Arabidopsis thaliana: one gene and its partner. The protein of the gene in region 1 interacts with the protein of each later gene in a pairwise test. Each region holds a gene or a part of one and is shown on either strand. Other genes may lie near its edges.

Region 1 (8,232 bases):
CGGTAATTCAATTGCTGAAGCCTTGGAACATATTGAAAGAGAAGGGATCCCAAAAGAGATCCCACAGTTTCGTCAGTATAAATGCCGTCGTTATCCTCCAAGTGCTCATAAGAGAAAGCACAAGATAAAGTCTGTCCTTAGTTTCGACACTTTGGACAAGGCTTTAGCCCACCTTCACATTCAGCCTGTTGGTGCAGCTTTAATTACTTTCCCTGAGTTGTGGCGTATTGGAGAAGTAAGAATAATTTAAGCAGTGTAGTATTTGATTAGGTCTTACTTTCTTAGCTAACATATATAAATTGTTGTGCAGCACATCTACCGTGGCCCATTAGAAGAGAATACTCAATTCACGGGGTTTCATGACGTGGTGATTGTCAAGGTAGATGTGATTAACCGCGAACAGGTGGCGTTGTGCAAGCTGAGCAACGGCCCAAAAATTGGTGTTGGTGGGTATGTATGGGTTTCCCTGGAAGTGATGTACATGGTGGTTGGTGCTCAGGATAATGATAAAGATATGCTTCGGCCCTCCTCAACACCACGCCATCTTCTTTCGGATTTTAATTGCCCACTAATGGATGAAGCTCCAAGGGCAAACCTTAAGAGGAAACAGGAGCAACAAGATGAACCAAAAAGATCTAAAAAGCGTCGTCGTCAAAGGTAAATTGATCAGACTGTCACAGAGTTGAACAATGCTCAGTGTTGCGACTCTTTCATTGCTGTGTTTTGGTTGCAGAGTGGCGCGCAGCAGTTCTAAATTGCACTCTAACCTAGATGATGATGACGTCGCAAGTCTTCATGGCCAAGTCAGGCAGTTGATAAATGTAAGATGACAGATTTCTGAAGCTTCTGGCTCTCTATCTTTTAACATTAATTTCATCTTATGAATTAGGAAATCTGTCATACCTGAGGAGTTGTTACTGTCCTCAAACTCTGTATCACTAGCTGTCCTCATGTAGTTCCTGACTCTTGATGTTTTACAGGAATCAAATGACTTCTGGTTTAAGCTAGTTGTCATTTTTGTTTTACTGGAACTTTGGCTTTGTCGTATGGTTTTATCTTCTTTTGCAGACAAGAGATACAAATAGTCATGATCAAGAAGCATCTCATGAAGACGATAAACCTGCTGTTGTAACTTCAGATAATTTGCCAATCTCTACAGAAGAATGCTCGCAACTAAGCTTTGGATCAAGCCCTTTGAGCAACAACGCAGGAGAGACCTCTGATGTAGCTTCAAAGATGGAACATTCAGATGCTAGGTATTCTGTTACTAGTGATTTCTTTTCCCAAACTATTTATACCATACTTACCAACTGATCATGCTTGCTTGCAGAAGTACCGACTTCTATGGACACTCTATGGGCTCAAGTAATAGCCACAATGCCTTATCACTTGGTGGCCCAAGCAGTTCCATGCCAGAGGTAAATAATCCTTTCTCTTTAAGAAGCACGAGACTGTAATATTTCATCCTCCTAGCTTGTATTTTGTAACAAGGAAGTAGTAGTAAACCGGGTCATGGATACTTTCTTGTTTACATGAAGTACTCTGCTGCCTTTTCCATATGAGTCTTGTGTTCTTCACATTTGGAAGTTGATTTCTTGGTCTATTCTTATGTCTTTTTACTTCTTTTTTCCAGGATGGCTAGTGAAGAAGATTTGAATTTTACAGGAGAGATAAAGAAAGAAAGAGAACTAACCCTTTTTACCCCATTTGTATCACAAAAGGGAAGAAACATGTGTTACCTTTAACTCTTGTCTTTATCTTTCCTCGGTGTGGGCTTTTTTGGCTGAGACCCGTAGGATATTCATTTTAGGCACAATTTGAATGAAGGGAATGATCAAACTCTCTATGAATCTATTTGAATTTATTGTTTGTCTATTGACCAATTTATACCAACAACAAATATAAGCTAAGAACTGTTGGAATAACAATATAGACAAAAAATTTGATTGTGGGCTCAAATTTTCATATACGAGGAGATGAGTGACAACAAACCCTATATATTTTACAAATAAAGAGCCTAATGCATCAAAGACATTACATGTTTTCCACCCAAATTTACACATCTCTTATTCCTTTCAAGTAAACAAAATCATCAATGAGGAAGATGATGCTCTCTAATGGAGAAAATATCAGCCAACACTTTCTGAGAGATAAAGCAAGTCCCTATAGCTAACATCATCTGCCTTGTGCTTCTTTCTCTTTGTTTTGTTTGCCTCCTAACTTGTCAAGTGTGTTCTCGTGGACGAGCTGCCCAGAGAGAACTAAGAGCACGCAGCCTGTGGAAGTATTCTCCTAGAGCGAGCAACCCTCGAGCAGCCTGTCTTGTCGTCAATATCTTACTCATTTGCTGCAGGGTCTGTTGTCTCAGATGATCCGCCTGTTCCAATATTGTCAGAGATTTTGTTTGTGAAATCCATGCTCACAAAGTTTCTAATCAAAAATGAAAATAAACTTTGGATTCATGGAGACTGCAAAAGCACAAAGCAAATACACTTAGCGTTACCTGGTTCACAAAACTCTCCAATGCTTGAAGATTCTCCATGGCTGAAGCCATTGGAGCCCCGTGATTCACAGACTCAACAACTTTTATCTGAATTGCTATGCTTTCGACCAAACCCTGCTGAAGTTTATCTAAGCCTTGAGAGAGAGCCTCCTCTGCTTGCTGAGACGACTGTTGCAGGTTACGCACCTCCAACAGTTGCTGATCGGTTAAGGGCTCAACGTATGGCATCACAACCTAGACAACAAAAAAGGTTGAGCATTTTTTCTCAAGAGTAGAAAGAGAAACGTGTAAAAGTAAAAAAGAAGTTTACATTTAAAAGCTCGGATGGGCGGAAACCTCCAATCCATTGGAAGAAGCGTTCAGTTGAAGTTCGCCACATTCCCGACATCAAGAAGAACACATCAGCCTTTGCAGCATCAGCTTTCATGCGGAAGAGATTTGCGTAGTGGTTCAAGCAACTATCTACCAACATTTTGAGCTCAATGTCACCTATATGAGCTTGGAGCGCTGTTCGAATCTCACTAACTCTCCTGTTTTGCTCTTCTAGCCAGTGTGTGTATTCCATCTCAAATGCAGCAATACCTGAAAATGGTTATTATTGGGAAAATTACTTCTTTATCTACTGAGGATTAAGAGATAAAGCAATGCTAACATATGCTTATTTAGTGATATAAACACCAACCTGAGTTCATATTCCCAGCTGGTCCTAGATAACTAGTATCTGAAGAATTGCGTACGCATAATCCCTAATACAAACCAGAAGAATCACTGAGTCAGAATGAATCAGATAAAGTTTGATGAACACACAACAAATAAACAAGCTTGAGCTAACCTGCTGCCTAGCTCTTACAAGTTCCTGCTCGAGCTGTGACAACTTCAACCGGCTTTCTTCTAACTGTTGAACATGGGCCTACAAGCACAGACACAACTTTGCATAAGCTTTCCTTTTTATCATTAACACAAGAAAAAATCCCACCAAGGTTACCTTCTTTCTCAAACGACTTTTGCGAGCAGCTTCTCGGTTCTGAGCCAAACGCCGTTTCATCTGTTCATAGAGAAGGAACAACAATTCATGTCATCACGCCGTGTCTCTTCCTCTAAAGATTAAAATGGAGAAGGAGGAGTTTATGAAGTCTTCGAAGCAAAAGGTATAAGTAGCCTTAAAATGCTAAAGCCTTACCTTATCATTGATCCGGTCTTCGTCCTGATCATTATTACTCGACGGTTCTGCTTCAAGAGAGTTATTATACACAGAAGTATAATTCACCTGCAACATAATTAACCATCAATCACCAAACAAACAACACTTATAAATCATTCTAAAGCATGATCCAGGAATAAACAATAACTCACTCTATTGTTATCATCTGCTTCTGGTCTAGCATCAACCTCAAGTGTTGTTGAAGAACTCTGATTGTTATTCTGATTACTAGTAATATTGTTGATATCTGATTTGAAAGGACTCTCCCAACCAGATAACTGTTGAAATGGTTCATACATCCCCATGTCTCTGAATGATACAACTTGAGTAGTAGAAGAAGAAGAGCTCATCATCTGTAAATCAACAATTTACAGACTCAAGCTTATTGAATTCAAGAAACAGATTCTCTAGCTCAGCTTTCAATAGATATATAGATCCAGTCCATATCTCTAAAATTGCATTGCTTACTAACACACACAATAAACAAGTAGTTATAGTTTCAGTTTTAGCAATAAAGGTTGAAACTTTAGAAAACCCAGCTCTCCAAAACAGAGCCTTTTGAAGAAACATAGCCAAATAGAGTAATACCCATGAAACTAGAAAGTTGCAACAACTAAAAACCAAAATTGGAAAATTTAAGGACTTCACAAAGCAAGAAAAGATAACATGAGAAACAAAAACCAACCTCCATTGATAAGCAGAGAAGAAATTCATGAGGAGCTCGAGAGATGAAGAATGAATCTTGGCATTCTAAAAGGAATATTCCGATCAAACGGTGACCACAAGAGAGAAGAGAGAAATGAAGAAAAACTTTGGTCAAAACTTAGAGGTGAAGCGTACCCATCATTGAAAAAAAAAAGCAGAGATATTTATTTTTTTATACATATATTTTGTGTTGTTGCTTTTTTTTTTTTCCTCATGGCTTTGATTAGTCCATGAGCGTAGAATAATAAGCAAGTTGAAGTAAACGAACGATGAAACGACAAAAGCATCACCACCGGGAGAAAAACAAATCGAGAGAGATGATAAAAAAGGTTGAGTCTTTTCCTCTATTCCAAAAGTTGACCTTATCGTGCGCCTCTGTTTCTAAACTACACCTTTTGATGACCTGGATTCTTCATCGTCGGCCGACACGTCAGATGCTTGAGGGGAATATTCCGGTAATTTTTATTTTTTAACATAGAGAATCTGAATCTCATATATATAAGATGTGATTTGTTTATGATTTTGTTAGAAAAAAACATACAATATCATATATCAAAACTTAATAGTCGACTTATGATTCACATTATAAAAAGTTGATATATAATATATATATATATATATAGTTTTTAAATTAAAATAGTTATAGTAATGATTTGATCTGAAAATGGATAATTGATATTTGTACCACGAGATTACTACCGATTGGTTAAATATATTTTTTAGTAACGATTTTAAATATAGCTGATAATTTATTTGTATAAATATTTGAATAACTGTGAATTATTTGTTATTCAGAAATTGAATAAACTTTTCCAAGAAATTAGGTCGCATTTTGTGGGACAAGAGTGGAAGATTAATACTTTTAATCAATTTATTAATTTTTATTCGCTTTATTTGGAGGGTCTCAGTGCTATGCAGTGGCATCTTTTAACTTAAGTACTCCTCCTTAGCTTAGTGAGTAATAATTGGGCCTCTAGTGACCTACCCAACTCTAAGAAAATGATTAATTTTGTTATCTTTTTCTTCTTTTGCCTAATACAATATTGATTCTTTAGTTAGTTTGGTGCCACTTGTCTGATAAAATCTGCGTTTCGACAGAGACAAATACGTAAAATAAGTGGGGCTTTTGGTTTGGCTTTAATAAAGATTTCATATACTATAGTTTTCAATCTTTATAAATATGATTCAAAACGTATTGATCAATGACATGCAAAAGGATAAATACCGAAACTAAAATGAATCATTTTGATTTTCTTAAATCTATTAAGTTTTTGTCTTTTTGACGCAACAGCGCAGAAAGGCCTAAAGAGGAAAAGTTGGGCTTAGAGTAAAGCCCATAAAATTTGTCGAATATTCAACACATGGCAAGTGCACGTGAGAAAAAATCTACAGAAGTCTCTGTGCCGCTTTTTAAGGCTTCTCGCCTTGTACAACTTTTTTTTTTTAAAAATGCGCAAGTTTCTTTTCTGTAACGTCACATATTATTTTCGTTAACCCTAATAATTTTGGTGTTTTCTTTATTTTGTTATATAACATGTATAGATTTTAGACCTAAACTTTACCACTTAAAAGAGTGTCTACAATGATAAAAATAATAGATCATAATAAGTTATTTAACTTTAATAATCTAGATGATAGAATTCAATCTTAAGTCTAAAATTTCGTAATAAACCTTTAAATTTTAATACACGATATATTATAATATATTATTATATATTATAATATATTATTATATATACACCCAAAACCGGCTCAATAGAACTGGAATTTTGGTACAAATTTTAAAAATTAGTCTTTTTCAGTATTAATTTTGTTTATACACAATCATTTACTTACATATATATAAACAATAAAATAATATATATATATATATATATATATATATTTATATAAGATAAAAGGATATATAAAAATTTAGACCCTTTAACAACATAATTACAAAAAAATAAGAGTATTTAGGATAAATTGTTTTTTATTAACTTTTTAGCAAGGAAAAACAATTCAATAATTTATATTCTTCATGCATCATATATTTTATGATCGACTGAACAATATCACCATCAACCACTACATGGTTGCAACCAAAGAGGGAGCAACCATGTAGCATTCGACTACCAACAAACAATATCACCATCAACCACCACTACATGGTTGGAACCAAAGAAGGAGTAACCATGTAGCAAACCAACAGTATCACTATCAATCACTACATGGTTGCAACCAAAAAAATAATAACCATATAACATTCGACTACCAACCAACCAACAATATCACCATTAATCATTACATGGTTGCAACAAAAAAAAAGAACAACCATGTAGTATTTTGCCATCAAATAAAAAGACTTTTCACGAATTGTTAATAAAATATATTATATTTATTTTAGACTTGCAAAAGATATCAGTCACTAATTGAAAATAATCATTTTCGCATACAAGAATGTCATTCTTCTTACTTCTTTGCATGCATCAACTTGTCAACTTCATTCAACTATATCCTAAATTGTTTGAATCTACAAAATATATTTTCAATTATTAAAAATAATTAAAATTACGCCAACATTACAAAATATTTGACAATAATTAGGCTCTTAGAAAAATTTATTAGAGGAAAACAAAATCTATAAAATCCTGACGATTTCACGTTTCATAATGAAGATTTCAAAATATTATTTTGTACACCACTAGTACGTTTGATTTTTTGAACAGGAGGTCGCATATTGGTCGCCACATATACTATAATGTTTTGGCCATTTTGATTAGTTAATTAGGAAATATATTAACGGCGTTATATATTTAATTTGGTACTAGTTTTACCATTTACTTGCTTTTTAGTTTTTATAAAAATCTATTTTACTATATAAATCTAGTAGATTAGCCGAACATTCTTCTTGTAAACTATTAAACGGCCGTTCATTGATTTAAAAACCTGGTACTAGATTCAATAATTTACATTTAACAAACAATTATGATACTCGTCTGAAAAGATGTATGAGTTTAGGGCCAGATACTCTTAGTTATTTAAAAAATGTATTTCTAAATAATCTAATTTGTCCATCACATTTGGCTATTCCAATTTGCATCAAATTCTGATGTCACCCATATAGATAGATTAGATACTATACTTATCTATACTTAATTCAGATAGTTGCGTGACCCTCTGGATTTGCCACGGGAAGGAGAGATGCTGGTCTGAGAATAAATTGGCATATATTGTAACTCCAGCCCTTAAATTCCTTATTTATGTGTGTTTGGTCCTAATTAAACTTATTATGCTTAAAAATAACTCATCATGAGTTCATGACTATATAATCGTTACATATGTAGCAGGGATTTAGAAACTCTTATAGCTTTATAAAACATCCAATCTAAATACTTGCTTAAAACCCAAAGAAAAAAAAAAATCATAAAATAAATTCAAACGATAAACACTACATATTAAACATAAAGCAAACAAAAAGGGCAAAAGAAAATTCTAACGTTTTTATTCATTATAATTATTTGATTAATTTTGGACGCGCCATTATAGCTTATTCTGTAATCATAAGATCACAAACTTTAGCAGAGTTTTTCTTGGTGCTCAGCTTTCCAAAGAACCATCGACCAGATCCTCCACCGTTCTCTTCGATTCCACCAGCGGTTGTGGCCGCGGTTGCCGTTATACTCTTCATGTTCTCTCTATGAAACTTCCTCATCGTGTAAACCTCCGCTATAGCCATCCCTCCTAGTCCCGATCCGTCTAGTGACATGTTATCAAAAAGTTTACAGGAGAAAAATATGATGGTAATTATGAAAAGAGATGCAAATAGAGACAATAGGTGGTA
Region 2 (8,088 bases), on another chromosome or scaffold:
CAAGAGAGTAACAACATGAGACTGGTTATTTCACTAGCAGCTACATTTTCCTTAGTTGGTATAATCTTACTTTGCTCTCTGCTTTATTGGTTTTGCCATAGGAGAAGAAACCTCAAGAGCTCAGGTAAATTCTCTTAGTCACATCTCGTTTTCACGTTTTTATGGCCTTAATCTTGAAATTCATGATGAATTCGATAAAGCTGAGAAAGTGACTCTCAATGTGTCAATTTGGGTTTTGAAGGTTGTGGGTGTAGTGGAATCACATTCTTGAATCGGTTTAGTCGCTCAAAAACATTAGACAAGAGAACTACAAAGCAGGGAACAGTGTCATTGATCGATTACAATATACTAGAAGAAGGAACTAGTGGTTTCAAGGAGAGTAACATTTTGGGTCAAGGTGGATTTGGATGTGTATATTCTGCCACATTAGAGAACAACATTTCAGCTGCGGTTAAGAAGCTAGACTGTGCCAATGAAGATGCAGCAAAGGAATTTAAGGTGCTATACCAATCTTTCTTTTTATGATAACTCTTCCATGTTTTCATCTTCCTGAGTTTGTTATATTCTCTGGGGTTTGCAGAGTGAGGTTGAGATATTGAGTAAGCTCCAGCACCCGAATATAATATCCCTTTTGGGTTATAGCACGAATGATACTGCGAGATTCATTGTCTATGAGCTGATGCCAAACGTTTCTCTGGAATCTCATTTACACGGTACATAAACCTATTTACATATTCTTGTAAAAGTTGTGAACATGAGAGAAACTGAAACTTTTTGTTCAACTACTTGTTCTCAGGATCTTCTCAGGGTTCGGCGATCACATGGCCTATGAGGATGAAGATTGCTCTTGATGTAACAAGGTGAGCCTGTGACTTTTTCGTGTTTCAACTTGCAATAATTCACAATCTAGAGGACTAAAACAACTACTATTTTTGTGTTTGTTTCAAATTAGGGGATTAGAATATTTGCATGAACATTGTCATCCAGCAATCATTCACAGGGACTTGAAATCATCCAACATCTTATTAGATAGCAATTTCAATGCTAAGGTAAACAAATCAGTGATTAAAGTCATAATGTTTCAATATCATATTCCTTTGTTTTTTTTGTCTAAAGCTCTAGCTTTCTATGAAATGTAGATTTCAGATTTTGGTCTAGCTGTTGTTGATGGGCCAAAGAACAAGAACCATAAACTTTCCGGGACAGTTGGCTACGTTGCACCAGAGTATCTTCTCAACGGTAACACCCTGAAATAACAATCTGTCAAGTCTTACTTTAAAAAAAAATCATCCTTAAAGAAACTTGTTGTGTTTTTATGAGAAGCATTTCTTACTCATCACCATACTGCATGTGTTTGGTTCTATAGGCCAATTGACAGAAAAGAGCGACGTGTATGCTTTTGGAGTAGTGTTATTAGAGCTTTTACTCGGGAAAAAACCTGTGGAGAAACTAGCTCCCGGTGAATGCCAATCCATCATCACTTGGGTACATATATAATAAACTCATACTTATGTTTCTCTAAAACTCTTAGACTTGGAACCAACTTTGAATTGTGTTTTTTTATTCTTCTCAGGCAATGCCTTATCTCACTGATAGAACCAAGTTACCAAGCGTCATAGATCCTGCGATTAAAGATACGATGGACTTGAAACACCTTTACCAGGTACGTTTGAGAAGGATTTAGTTGATTGTGCAAAGTATATAGTTGGTTTTGATGAGATAGTATCAAGAGTTTTGATGCGAGCATGTGAATGTGTAGGTAGCGGCAGTGGCGATTTTGTGCGTGCAGCCAGAACCGAGTTATAGACCGTTGATTACAGACGTCTTGCATTCTCTTATACCTTTGGTTCCAATGGAACTTGGTGGAACCTTAAAAACCATCAAATGTGCTTCAATGGATCACTGTTAAACACCATAGAAAACCGGTGTTTTTTTTTATAGAAATTCGGTTTAATATTGACCGGTAGGTGGTTTTGATGTGTATATTGGGTTAGAAGTTGTAACCGGAACATTACAGTATCCTTTTGAAATGCTTACTTGCGCACTGTTGATGAACTCTTTTCTCATGTGATTTCTATTTACGAAAACAAATGAAAATTATTATAAGTTGTAAATGGTGACATTAGTAGTAGGTGTGGACAAGACACATAACTAACTGCGTCTCCAAGATGATCTAACCCTGGTTGCATAGTAAGTTGAACTATAAAAAAACATGAAACTTTGTAGATAAACTGACACATAGTAAAAACGAAGAACTGAGCAAAAATGTCTTAAAAGAAATCAGGTGGAAGCTAAGACGTTGGCAGATAAATATGGCGACCTGTAATCCTTCACCTCTAAGAGGCAAGTAGGTAACTGAATATAGCCTTGCAATAGAAGATCAACTTTCTCAACTAAGTTTTCTGGTACTGGAGTGATCACATATAATATTCCTCTCTCTGTGTCAATACCCCTCACGATTCCTACATTCAACATCCAAAACCAACTTCAATACATAATCATAAACCCATGTTCGATCACTGATTGCAATGGATAAATAGAAACTTACCAAGACCTACGCATGATGGCAAATCCTCAAACACCTCGGTGCTAATGCCCAAACCAACAATGGAAGCATTCAAACTATAATACACTTCAGAACTTGGGATCTAAAAAGAAGAGAACCCCATTATTGGCATCATCAATCATATGGATTAGAAAGATATGACCTTTATACTGTTTTCTTTTTACCTGACAATGGAGATGGTTGATTGTTAAACTCGATATTGGAACTTCATAAGGAATATGGGAAGCGAGTTCATGTGTTAGTTCTTTGATCGTGTTTACTTCTTTTCCTTTAAAGCATTGCCTAAAGTAGGCGATTATACGCATGTCCCTCATCAAACGAGCATCCTTATGTATTAAAATGCTGTACAAACAGGATACAAAAACTTGTAACTACTCGAACAAAGCGTATCGGTGAGATTATTCGATAACTAGCATTGTACAGGACTTACGATTGATTATATCTGTCTTGGTAAGCAGATTGGATCTCTATCAAATGAGCTGTCTCATCATCATTACCGTCTAACCAGAACAACCCAGCTGGTAGGTTCTTGTTGTAAGCAGAGATGTTAATTTTCACAACGTGGGAAGGGGAAACATATCTCAGCACGTCCACCAATAACTCATAGCCAATTCCTAAAGGTTGTGAATCATTTCTATTAGTGAAAGAAAAAATCTGTTCCTTTTGTTTTGAAAGGATAAAGAGAGTGAGTTACCTTTAACCCATCCTGGTGTATTAATGACAAGCGGCAATTCAGTTTTGTTCTCGCTAGACTTGCAGAAGTGTAGCTGATAGTAATCGAATAAGGTATATACATATCTTAAATATGCCTTTGGATCCCTCTTTGAAGAAACATCACCATAGAAGAAGCATCTGAATCATCAAACAAAAGAGAAAGGGGAATAAGTCGCTTAAATTCTTAACATCACAAAATTTGCTTGATCCAAACTAACCTCTCTGGTGTCTTTACACATGGAACTGTCCAATCCGATTCTACAAAGTAGAAAATATAACCAGAAACATAAGTGACTGAAACAGCATTATGAAAACAAGTTTTCGGAATGCAAACAACAAGAATCGTGAAAGCAATAAGTATGAGGGTTACCTAGAATTGATTTATCAACAATTGTGAGAGAAAGGAAACCAGGTGCAGTAAATTCAGGCTGGCCAACATCAGTATCCAAATAAGCAACCCTTTTGTATCTGTAAGAACCACAAAGGTCAATTGTCAGCAAAACTTATCGAAACAAAGCAACCATCATAAGCCACTTAAGAAAATTGCATCCATTCAAACTAAATCTGGTTCCATTCAAATTATAAGAAGTAGAAGGTCAAGACAGTTTTCCCCTGATCGGAAAAAAAAAAAAAAAAAAAAAAGACAGTTTTCCCCAATAATCAGACTCACGAACACTCATTAAAAGACCGGGAACAATAAAGAGAGGCTAACGGAAAGTAATAACCTTTGGAGAAGAACTTCAACAAGATTGCGTGAAAATGTGCTTTTGCCACTGTTTTTAGGGCCACAGACCAAAGCTATAACCGGTTGCAACGAACTGCAGGAAACAGAACTTGCTGCATTTGACCATTCCTCTGGTATGAAAGGCAATTTATTTTCTGCTTCAGACATTGCAGCCACACCTTATCTTTCTCTGAGAGAAATCATGTAAAAGAGTTCAATAAAAGACCATTTTATAAACAACCAACAAGTTCTTAACTGTGTTTTAACAAGGGTTTAAGCTAATGTACATAACAAAGAACAAAATTCATCTTTTTCTACCTAAAACACGAGTATTAGAGACTCTGCTCAAATTTGATGTATCTAAGCTCGATTCTACTAACCTAAAACATCACATCAAGCTCGATATGCCCCGATTAATCTAGGTAAAGTCTCTACGAGGTAAGACATCGTAATAGAGAATGAAGCTCAACGTAAACATACTTGTTAAATAACACGGAAAATGACGAAACTAGAAAACGGTCGGAAGAAAAAACTATAACCGGCGATTTTTGAGTCGTCGACCAGAGGAGAAGGTATCGAGCCGTCGGAGAAGCAGAGGGAACGATGAAAATTTAGGGATTTTAGTTTCTCCTAGTGCTTTCGAAACCGAACCGGAACTTAAACCACAATTAATAGAATTCGTTTCAAATAAAAACCGGTATGGTTAAACCCAGAACAAAGTGTTAGCGAACCGGAAAAAAAATAGGAATTACTCGAGAACGACCTTGTCTAATGTGTCTATTCGAATGTGGATCAAAATTTAAGATTATGTACCTAGAAAGTTTGAACATAAACCAAAAAACGAGTGAATGAGTTCGAACTGGGAGCTATGTCCGCTAGAAGAAACGACAGCCAGTGTAGCAGTGGCAATGGCAGAAGTAGAACTGCGTACGGAAGACTACTAGTCTAATCCTCCTTTCAGGAGTGCATACACAAGTGAAACCTATGAACACGTGGTTTGAGTTCCACTTACACAAGAAAAGGCTTAGAACAACCAACTAAAATTAAATCAATCATGAGCTTCTATATAGGTAATACTCATTAGTCATTAGACTCAGTTCAATTGGGCTTAATAATCAAAATAAGAATATCAAGTTGGATTGTCAAAAGATTAGTATCAAACAATACACATGCAAACGTAAGAGTGACAACTCTAGAGCCATTGTTTATAAGATTTAATTTGGTACCTAGCTCCTCATCTCCAGCAAATTTTGTACGTAATATTATTTCGTTAAAATAATGAACTTGGAGACATGAACCTGCTCTTTCCCACCAATCATATATATATATTTCGAGATCTCAATTACTTCGTAGCAGCTAATATTCCGCCGATGAATTCATTATTAACCATATATTTTCAAAATGCATATATAATATATACTTTATTTTTTTTCGTCATATAATATACACTTTTCTGAAATACAAATAAATTCAAAGTTTTTCACAAGTTAGTGAAAACCCCCACATGGAACAACATTGTTTGTATTAACATATATTTGTTGTGTCCTTATAATTATCTTCACAATTTATTTGCCCATTACAAGGTTCTCGGATCTGATGATTAACTGGTAAATACATAAATTACTATTTCTCCTAAAGTAAAACAGCTATTAGTACCAAGATATGAAATCAGAGGTTGTAAAAAAACAATTAAATCTTTAGCAGTAGCATGTAGAATTTATCTCTACACAGTTTTTTTTCTTTCTTTTACACACAGCCTATATTTCTACTTTTTGGTTACCTTCTTAATAGGATTTTTGTGAGCGGCCAAATTATTGTCATTCTGGTAGAAGATTATACCAATCATACACACAGTTTCACCAAATCAATTATATAAAAAAAACTGCCGTTTAGTCAAAAGATATTAATGAAGTTGAAGTAGGTGCTCAAAGAAAAGAAAGGTATTTGAAAAGTTGAAAAGAGAATCTAAGAAGTGGACAGACAGTATAAGAAAATGAAGGTCGACGAGACTCGAGAGAGGAGGGGTTATTAAGTTGAATTACTAAAAGCGTGTTGTCGTTTCAATCTGACCTGGTCTTAGTCTTCCACATGAGAAAATTCAGTCAACCATTGCTCTCAAAATCGTTTCGTTTTTCTTATAATTTCATTAAACAAAATCAAGTATACATACTCTCTTAACCACCATTTCTTCAAAATTAACTTTAGATAACTTTATGTTCTATATATATATATACTTTCTTTCTTCTTGTTAAAGTATTGTCCAGACTAAGTTTGGAAGTACGAGTTTTTGTCAATAAATGAAACAAATATCCTCCTTTGATTTGAAAGTACTCGAAAAGATAGGAGACAGAGTAATTTTGAAGCAAACCATATTGCTAGCTACAAGTAAGTGTAATTATTACATGAAATTGTTTATTGCTATCAAAGATCTCACTTGTACAATCAAAAAACATGTGGATATGATCCAAAGATTATGGCATGGGATGAGACAACAAGGACTCTTTTTGCATTAGCTATACCAACTTACTCGGGAGAACATTGTTTTAGTAATATGATTTTTTTATTAAGTTCAAAATTATGCTGATTTTAGATCGGGAAAGAATTATTTTTACTGTCTTCTTTTTTACCGTCAAAAATAATATTTTAGTCTTATTAAAACGATAATTGCCAATTGAATTCACAATTTACTCATGGCTAACAAAATTATTTTCACCCAAATTTTAACGGCAAAAAAAGTTAAACAATGTTAAAATGATAAATTGGGAACTTGCTAAACTTAAACTTGTGATTACTTAAGTGTTTAAGAATATTATATCATAATACATGTTCGAATAAGTTAAATGTTTGGTGTATAAACCATAGCTTATAAATTTTGAATGGGTTGTTATACACGTAGCTAACTATATAAATAATGAAAAAACAGTTTACCTGTCTTACAGTTTTAATTTCTTGAACCTAAAGATTCAAAACCCACCTTGATTTATAGTATAAGAAAATACAGATCTAACAAAAATATCAAATTAATTAATAATACGGATATGACTCAATAAGTACTTATCCACCTCCTTTTAGCTGTCTGCCAACGTATCCGAATAACTCAAGAAATCAATAAAATATAACTTATGAAAACATAATTAAATAAACCGAAAAGTTCAAATCATATTAATTCGACCGAACCAATTACTATTAATTTGTCTTTTTTTTCAGGCAGCACAAGGGATACATTTTTCAATTGTCACACTAATTATAGTATCAGATTATAATTCACACTAATTATAGTATTTTTGTTTTTTAACTGTCCATTAGGCGTTAAAATAACAAATAGTTGGTGTGTGTTACTATAAATGTAATTTTTATTACTACATGTAGACTATCAATGGGTATGTCAAAAGCTAAAACTATTCCTACATGTGTTACTATAAATGTAATTAATGGGTGTGTATTAATTCTAAATCCATTATATAATGTGACAAAAAAAAAAGGTTGTATAATGTGAAATAATTGACCCAACTTATACCAATTGATTATGTTCTCCAATAAACCTTCAAGTGTGCAGGCTTGTTAATCATAACGTGTTCCTCATACTCGAACAGTTAATAACGCCTTTTTACTGTTAACCCTGAATATCTCGTAATATTCAACCTAATGTGAATAGTTCTTGTTTAAATCCATCCTCCATATATAAGAAGAAAGTCAAGTTGAAAAAGTCAGATTTTATGCCCAAGTTTACAAGTTGCAAGCCCACAAGATCAAAATTTTCGCATAATTATAATCTCATATCGCTATCAATCCTCATCCACATTCTTGTTTTACGTATGATTCGAGCCAATCATTATTATAACCTTTCCATTTTCTGAAAATTTAACAATCTTTTTATATAAATATACAAATCCCTCTTTAACCAAATAATAAAAACCTCCCAAATACAAAACTCCCGAAAATCTCTCTCTTTTATTCTTTCTTTCTTCTTCTTCTTCCCCAACTTGAAAAAAAAAAGTAAACACGAAAATGTCTCCGTCTTGGCTCCGCCCAACCGCCGATCACAATCATCCTCCACCGCAACCGCCGTCGCAATCACCGTCCC

What was found. The genes of interacting proteins can lie anywhere in the genome.
Region 2: the proteins of TGA3 (region 1) and AT5G11010 interact in binary tests that used the Arabidopsis thaliana proteins (3 or more experiments, as listed by UniProt).

The regions. Positions count from the first base shown.
Region 1 is NC_003070.9:7,785,814-7,794,045, reverse strand, and holds TGA3 (transcription factor TGA3), read right to left. Parts: upstream 4,914-8,232; 5' UTR 4,396-4,913; coding exon 4,390-4,395; intron 4,058-4,389; coding exon 3,857-4,057; intron 3,771-3,856; coding exon 3,684-3,770; intron 3,549-3,683; coding exon 3,489-3,548; intron 3,414-3,488; coding exon 3,336-3,413; intron 3,250-3,335; coding exon 3,186-3,249; intron 3,086-3,185; coding exon 2,814-3,085; intron 2,738-2,813; coding exon 2,504-2,737; intron 2,378-2,503; coding exon 2,225-2,377; 3' UTR 1,907-2,224; downstream 1-1,906. Other genes in the region: AT1G22080 (Cysteine proteinases superfamily protein), read left to right, coding at 1-235, 311-657, 734-821, 1,069-1,256, 1,331-1,418, 1,634-1,642; AT1G22065 (uncharacterized protein), read right to left, coding at 7,939-8,157.
Region 2 is NC_003076.8:3,480,260-3,488,347, reverse strand, and holds AT5G11010 (Pre-mRNA cleavage complex II protein family), read right to left. Parts: upstream 4,717-8,088; 5' UTR 4,485-4,716; exon of another isoform or gene 4,195-4,484; 5' UTR 4,173-4,194; coding exon 4,006-4,172; intron 3,749-4,005; coding exon 3,651-3,748; intron 3,539-3,650; coding exon 3,499-3,538; intron 3,419-3,498; coding exon 3,261-3,418; intron 3,181-3,260; coding exon 2,997-3,180; intron 2,909-2,996; coding exon 2,731-2,908; intron 2,649-2,730; coding exon 2,549-2,648; coding exon of another isoform or gene 2,517-2,548; exon of another isoform or gene 2,463-2,516; coding exon 2,281-2,462; 3' UTR 2,081-2,280; downstream 1-2,080. Other genes in the region: AT5G11020 (Protein kinase superfamily protein), read left to right, coding at 1-124, 242-498, 581-713, 797-860, 953-1,049, 1,140-1,239, 1,367-1,485, 1,574-1,663 and 1 more; AT5G11000 (hypothetical protein (DUF868)), read left to right, coding at 8,013-8,088. UniProt on the Arabidopsis thaliana protein: Polynucleotide 5'-kinase involved in rRNA processing.